2 linked regions of the Mus musculus genome follow. The protein of the gene in region 1 binds, or shares a complex with, the protein of each later gene. Links are inferred from orthologs where the notes say so. Each region holds a gene or a part of one and is shown on either strand. Other genes may lie near its edges.

What was found. Proteins that work in one complex are often made in the same cells at the same time.
Region 2: the proteins of G3bp1 (region 1) and Caprin1 are in contact, whole or in part, in a crystal structure (PDB 8TH7), measured with the Homo sapiens proteins. The link is inferred for Mus musculus from reciprocal best matches to the Homo sapiens genes G3BP1 and CAPRIN1. Residues at the interface, in NP_005745.1 of Homo sapiens: Glu4, Lys5, Pro6, Ser7, Leu10, Val11, Glu14, Phe15, Arg17, Gln18, Thr21, Leu22, Met29, His31, Arg32, Phe33, Tyr34, Gly35, Lys36, Gln58, Lys59, His62, Leu114, Glu117, Asn122, Lys123, Phe124, Tyr125; in NP_005889.3 of Homo sapiens: Met363, Gln365, Met366, Gln367, Gly368, Pro369, Tyr370, Asn371, Phe372, Ile373, Gln374, Asp375, Ser376, Met377, Leu378.

What each region holds. Positions count from the first base shown.
Region 1 is NC_000077.6:55,493,700-55,497,345, reverse strand, and holds part of G3bp1 (ras GTPase-activating protein-binding protein 1), read right to left. Parts: intron 2,094-3,646; coding exon 1,895-2,093; intron 1,203-1,894; coding exon 1,101-1,202; intron 1-1,100. UniProt on the Homo sapiens protein: Protein involved in various processes, such as stress granule formation and innate immunity. Plays an essential role in stress granule formation.
Region 2 is NC_000068.7:103,794,788-103,798,533, reverse strand, and holds the start of Caprin1 (caprin-1), read left to right. Parts: upstream 1-893; 5' UTR 894-1,071; intron 1,072-1,455; exon of another isoform or gene 1,456-1,593; coding exon 1,594-1,803; intron 1,804-3,746. UniProt on the Homo sapiens protein: mRNA-binding protein that acts as a regulator of mRNAs transport, translation and/or stability, and which is involved in neurogenesis, synaptic plasticity in neurons and cell proliferation and migration in multiple cell types.

The sequences.
Region 1 (3,646 bases):
CTGGAGTTATAGATGGTTGTAAGCCACCATGTCGGTGCTGGCAATTAAACCCAGATCCTCTTCAAGAACAGGAAAGATCTTAACCATTGAGACATTAATCCAACCATGCTCCCTGCACACTTTAACTTAAAAATATATATATATATACATACATATATGTTTATGTATATATGTATATATATGTTTATCTGTGTGTATATACATATCTTATATGTTTATAACAATATACATATATAACTTAAAATAAATGTGTGTAGGGTAGGAGCACTGGTAGGTCTTCCTGAGGATCCAAGTTCAAGTCCCAGAACCCACCTGGTTTCTTACAACTATAACTGCAGTGCCATTTTCTGGCCTCCAAGGATAGAAGACAGACACGATGCAAACAAATTTGCAGGCAAATATCCATAACCATACAATCAAAGAGTAAATGTTTAAAAAGTATGTGATCCATGAGTCTCTGTGCACTCAAACTCATGCATCGTCTGAAGGCAGAAGAGGACATGAGATCCCTAGGACTGGAGTTTCAGACAGTCATAAGCCATCATATGACACTGGGAAATTGAACCCAGTCCTCTCTCTGCGAGGGCAGTAAATGCTCCTTCTAACAGCCGAGCTGTCTCTCCCACATCTTGTCAATTTTCTTAAACAAAACTATGAACCTAGAAAAACAGCAATTCTGGCTCCAAGGAGGTGAGACTACTAGGCAGCGCCAAGTTTTACAGGCCAGCCAACCTCCCCTAACCTGAGAGCTCCAGGTCAACAGAGACCTTGTCTCAAAAAAAAAAAAAAAACCACACCAAAGTACACAGCTCCCAAGGAAAACTGTCAGCAGTTGGCCTCTGGCTTATACCTGCATGCACACACTCATAGAAAGAAACCTTCACACACATCAGGAAGCCCCTGCTTTCTGTCAGGTGCTACTCTAACTACTACTGTGCAGTTCACCACAGCGCTGCCGTCCTCAATGAATCAACACACCCCAGGGAAACACCTCCTATCTGCTCCCTGTGTACCAGGCTCCCTCCCATTCTCTTAGCCTGTTAAGTCACGTGTCCAAAGCATAGTTAAATCTGCCCAAAGTCCTAGATTCAGACCCTTACCTGTGACGCTGGCACTTTGACCACATGAGGTGGTGTCCCCGTCACTGGAACAGCCCCACTGGGAGGAAGGTTCTTACTCGTCACAGATGCCCAAGAAAACGTCTAGAGAAGAACAGGACATGTCAGAGCGACAAAGAGCCATTAACTTCTGCTCCGCATCACCTCTACATCACTCACAGACAGGAGTCTACAAGCATCTGCCACCTCACAAACTGCCTTAGAAGCAGCCCTGCCTATCATTACACCCGATAATCCAGATACTTAGGGGACCAAGATAAGCCAGCCTGGGCTAAATAGCTAGATCATCGTAAAAGTCAACTAAGTAATTATAACGAAGAAAAAAATTAAAAATAAACTAGCAGGGGGGGCTGCCTTTAAGCCCAGCACTTGAAAGGCAGAGGTAAGTGGATTTCTGGATTTCTGAGTTCAAGGCCAGCCTGGCCTACAGAGCAAGTTCCAGAACAGCCAAGGCTACACAGAGAAATCATGTCTCAAATAAATAAACTAGCAGAGAGTAAATATATGGCTCAGTTAGCAACAGCTTTTTTGCACAAACTCCTGGGCTTAGTCCTGAGTGCCTTATAAATCAGGCAAGGCAACACAGAAATATAATCCCAACAAATAGGAAATAGGAGCCAGAGAATCAAATCAGCCTCAGCTGTGTCTGGAGTTTGAGGCCAGCCTGGGGCATGCCTGGCACATACTCTCCCACCCACAACCTGGGGCTGACCTTTAGCATAGCAACAACAAACAGGTAATAAGACAGCAATACAGTGCTAAGCCACAACCCATACCCTCAAGTCCTCCTGTGCCGGGGCCACATCAGCCGGGGCCGGGGAAGTGCTCTTCTGCACATCGTCGGGAGCAGCTTCTTCCAATGCAGCCTCAGGCTTGTCCTCTTGAATGTCGGACACAGGTTCCGGCTCCGGCTCCGGCTCTGGCTCCGGTTCTGGTTCCACTACAGGCTCCTCTAAATGCTCCTCCAAGTCATTGCTGTCATGGAATGGAAAATTTGACCTGTCTCTGGGACTCACCCAGATACTCTGAGCCATCTAATGACTCCAGAGAGTCTCAGGACAAGAGGTTGATGGCTAAATTCTGATAAATATAATGATCAAAACAGAATCAAGTGGTTTTCAGTTAATGTTAATTAGCTTATTAATATATGTATCACAAAACCCTTGTATTGAATGGGCTAGAGAAAGATCAAACTCTCTGAGGCCTAGCACAGGCCCAGCAAGCCAAGTAAGGCAAGTCAGTCTCAAAATATAGTAAATGTCATCATCTGTGGCTTTAACCACACACAAGCCCCATAGAAATACACAAGGGGACTGGAGAAGTGGCTTAGTGGCTAAGATCTTTCTTTCTGGGGTCCTGACTGCCTATGTGATCCAATGCCCTTTTCTGATGTGCAGAAGCACATGCACACAGAACACCCACATACATATAACACGTAGATAAATCAATCTTTAACAAACTCCATGCACCAGGAGTTCTGGAAGAGAAGACATCAGTTATGACCAAGAACAGTGGTTATATTCCCATACCAGCTGCCAAGGAACGCTGTCCCTGGCCTTGTTCTCCCTCCTGATACCTGACCTCAGTAAGTAGGTCTTCCGTAAAACACATCTTCACTCTCAGCCTAGCATGAACAGGTTTGACCACACCTTGATAAACACTTGATTGAACACTGAGCACTGACATCTGGAACAATCGTGGCTCAGTGGCCTATCAGGAACATAAAAAACTAAGACAACATCACACTCATTATTTGAGGTCATGAGAAAATTTTAAACAAGGGTTTTTGTCATGTAGGCCAAAACTGTCCTCTTAAAAATAGTATTTTTATATGTCTACATGTTTTTAAGTGTATACATGTTTTTAAGAGTATACAGTGCACCAAAAACATGATTCCTGCAACTCGAGTTAAAGAAGTACTAAGGTACCATGTGAGTGGTGAGAACTAAACTCAAATCTTCTGCAAAAGCAGCCAGTGCCTATCACAGCTGAGCAGTCTCTCCAGCCCTCAGGACAGCCTGAAATTCACGGCACACACGTGGAGGGCAGAAAAGATCCTCAAGGTCAATTCTCTCTTTCTAACACGGGGTTCCAGGAACCTAACTCAGGTCATCCTATGCCACGCCGCTTCCTCTGAGCTGCAGGGCTGGACTATAAATTCATTATTACTCAGCTTATGGCTTCGACATTTTATTACTCTAGTTAAATGAACTCTTCTGATATATGTGTGCGTGCCTACAATCCCAGCATCTCGAACACTCAGACAGATGTTCCAGGCTTAGCCTCAGCTACATGGTGAGCACCTGTCTTCAAAACAATTAGCAACCTAAACCATACACATTCAACACTTTCCATAGTATCTCCTATAAAATAAGTAAAAGTTGCATATTGCTAGTTATTAAGAAATAACACAATTAAAATATTTTCCCAGAAAACTACCATAGTTTTGTTGCTGAGCCCATGCAGGCAACGTTCAAACTCACAGCAATCCCCTTGCCTCAGCCTCTGGAACACTGGAATTACAGGCA
Region 2 (3,746 bases), on another chromosome or scaffold:
ATTCTTTGATAGAACCCTCTTCTAAATTTCCTTTTCATGGATTTTAAATTATAAATTGGTCATTTACTGCTCTCATACATCATGTTGCTGAATTTTCCACGGATCATATTCCTTTTAGTACCTTTCTCTAGATCACTCATTTTTTCCTTTTACTCGTTATCCACCCTCTTTGACCACCCCCCCGCCCCCCAAATAATTCTCCTGGACAAAAAAGTGCCCCCCTCGCACCCCCTCCCGGCATCTTGCATAGTCTTTAAAGTTTTGGGTAAAATCTTAAACAAATCGGGTAAAGATAAGTAATTCCTGATAGGGCGTACTTATCTATCTCAGGGTAGGAGAAGACGGGTTTTTAACATGACTGGGGTAATTAAGGAGATCAAAAAGCCATGAAGGATGTTCATTCTCCATGCCTAGGTTATTGTATAATTATTATGTGGCAAGTTGCCTTTTCTCAGACCTTTTAGGGTGAGTTTGCATGCTCTCCATACAGAAGGAATTCTAGAAGCTGGGATTGCACCACCCACCCCACGCACCCCTTACTTGCAGAAACCTTTGCCCCTCCAACCCCCACTCCCACCAAATAAGGGCTCTACAAGGGGCAGTCCTCAGCTCCAGAGCCTGAGGCTTGACACCCATTGTCCCCGTTAGGATGTCAAGAGATTTCGCCTGAAGGACCCCAGCTTAGGTTTCACTCAAAACTCAAGGATCTGGGATAACGGTCTCCGTGAGGGTACTTTCCAGATATGCAAAGGGACAGGAACCTGGCGCCGAGGACACGGCCCGACGGGAGGCGCGGTCCGGTGACCTTTTTTCGACAGGCATTCCAGTCGGGCAGCCTCACCGGCTTGAAGGCCCTCGCTCCCTATTGCTCCCGCCCCCCCTCGTTGCAGAGCGCTGGCTGGCTAAGTCCCTCCCGCGCCGGCTCTTGTCCCACTAGGAGCAGCTCAGAGCCGCGGGGACAGGGCGAAGCGGCCTGCGCCCACGGAGCGCACGTCTCTGTTCTCAACGCAGCACCACCCTTGCCCCCCTCGGCTGCCCACTCCAGACGTCCAGCGGCTCCGCGCGCGCACGGTGAGCGCCATCCCGGATCAAAGGCGCCGAAGGGGAAGAAGGCCGCTGTACCTGGGTGTCCTTTTTACCTTCGGAGCGGTCCGAGCGGCTGGGAGGGCTCGCTCAGGGCCTCCCCACCCCCACCCCCAACCCGGTCACTCCAAGTGCCCTTCTCCACCCCTGGCCCTGACCTTTGTCCCTCTCGTTCTCGCAAGGCAACGGGTGCCACTTGCCCCGATGGGGACCGTTGCCCTGGCGGTTGACGGCGGCCGTGCCAGGCCCCGCCCCCGGCGCGAGCTTGGTGCCCCGGGGAGGGGGGAGGGGCGGGCGGCCCGGCGCCCCGCTGGCGGGTCGCGCGCGTGCCCGTGGGCCCCTTCCTGCCGGCGGCGCGCGCCGCCCCCTCCCCCCACCGCGCGCGCGCGTAGCCGCCTGCCCGCCCGCCCGCTGCGCGTTTTGTCCCGCGTCTCTCCCCGTCCGTCTCCTGACTTGCTGGTCTTGTCCTTCCCTCCCGCTTTTTTCCTCTCCTCTCTTCTCGGTCTAAAGATGCCCTCGGCCACCAGCCACAGCGGAAGCGGCAGCAAATCGTCGGGACCGCCGCCGCCGTCCGGTTCCTCCGGGAGTGAGGCGGCGGCCGGGGCAGCTGCGCCGGCTTCTCAGCATCCGGCAACCGGCACCGGCGCCGTCCAGACCGAGGCCATGAAGCAGATTCTCGGCGTAATCGACAAGAAACTTCGGAACCTGGAGAAGAAAAAGGTGCGAGGAGTTAGTGGAGAGGGAGGGCTCGTGGCTCCAGCCCTACACCGGTCCCGGCGGTGGATGGTGCTCCTTGCCCAGAAAACGGGCGCCTCGGGGAGGTGCCTGTCACCTGACCCCAACGCGGCGCTGCCTCTAGGCCTCGGTTACTCACATCAGGCTGAGCGGGGCCTTTCCGCCTGGTGACCGGTTGCTTGGGTGGTGGGCCCGTTGCTGGGTATGCTCCCAAACTGAGGCCTGACTTTTGAAGGAGGCCAAGGGGAAGAAACAGTGTGCCCGGCCCGATTGCTCGTGGAGTTGAGCGGTCCATGCCTTGTAACTGTGGCGTTTGCCTTTGGTACCTAGGCTGGGGGCTGGTGGAATGGCTCTCTTCCCAAGAAAAGATATGTGTCTAGACCTGAACTAGGGTTGCAGTCCCGTCAAGTCCTAGTTAAGCGGGCCTTTGCTTGGGTACCCCCGCCCCCTTCCGATGGGCTCCCTACGTTTCCCCCTTTGTTTCGATTGTCTGGGTGCTTGGAACCTCACGCCCAGCCTAGTCACGAGGTAGTTTTTAAATGAGTGTTTTTTGTTGTTGTTTTTTGCCATGACCTTTTCTTTTTAATTTATTATTTTTTACCGCTTCAGCATTCTAAAGGGTCAGGGAGATTTCCTTGATCTTTCGGAGGTGGATCTAGTTTAGACTGGAGACTGCCTCTGGGTCTCTGGGCACATGGAGTGTCTAACATGGCGGCGGCTGCGGGAGAGGGAAGCGCTGTACAGGAGCTGCATTGTGAGCACAAAGCGAAAGCAGAGGGGGAGGGCAGAGACCAGGCAGCAGCCCCGCCTAGCCCCCCCTCCCAAAAAGTCGAGCCACACCCACACTGTTTTGGCTTTAATATTTAGCCATTCTGGACCATACTGTTAGATTACTTAAACCGGCTTTTTTGTTTTATGCGTTTAGTGTAGGACCGTATACCAACACAGTTTAGAGGAAGAGTCTGGGTAGAAGTAAATTTCTACCCTGATTAAGAAAAGTAGTGGAAAGGGACAAACATGGGGTGGTAGAGTGAAAATGGAGGCAATTTACCTGGAACTGTTATTCTAACTTGCCCTTTTACATTAAGTATAATGTAACTTTTGATAACTTATGCCTGCCGGGGCATATTTTAAAATTTTGAAAAATTCCCATGAAGATGTTTAGTTAGTTGTTTAACTAGTTAGAGGAGATTAGTGAGATAGGATATTGGCTAAAAATCTGAGCTGTAGGAGGTAAGTTGGAAAAATCCAGGCTATTTACATCTTAATCTTGTGGTTTATCTGCTGATTTCCCATTTTTAGTAGTGAGTTTGAAACATTCACCTTTGTACTTTTTCTGTTTCAGTGTTGAAGAGTGGCCATATTACTAAAACTTCCCAGACTTTATTTGAAATTGTGAATATACATGAACAAGATATGAAACTTTAGCTATTTTGATAAGAAATTTTAATGTATTAAATTATTAAATAGTGAAAAGAGGAAATATTAAAATAGTGAAAGCACTGTAAGCTACATTCAAATATGGAATTTCATGCCAGCATTTCCTTTTTTTTTCTTTTTTTTCTTTTTGAGACAGGGTTTCTCTGTGTACCCCTGGCTGTCCTGGAACTCACTCTGAAGACCAGGCTGGCGCCTCTAACTCAGAAATCCTCCTGCCTCTGCCTCCCAAGTGCTGGGACTAAAGGCTTGCGCCACCACACCCTGCTAGCATTTTCTGATACTTGCGTGTGTTTGGTACCCTGTGTGAAATTGAGTTTAACTTGGGTATCTTTAAATTTTCCTAATGCAATAAAGCAGTGTTGTTAGGCTGTTGCTCCAAACGGTTTAATTTTTGGAATTTCTGGGAACTCAGTTTCTTGTAGAATAGGATCCGACATGAGCTTTAATGATTTGAGGTATCAATGTTAGTGGTTGCAAATTCTTCAAAT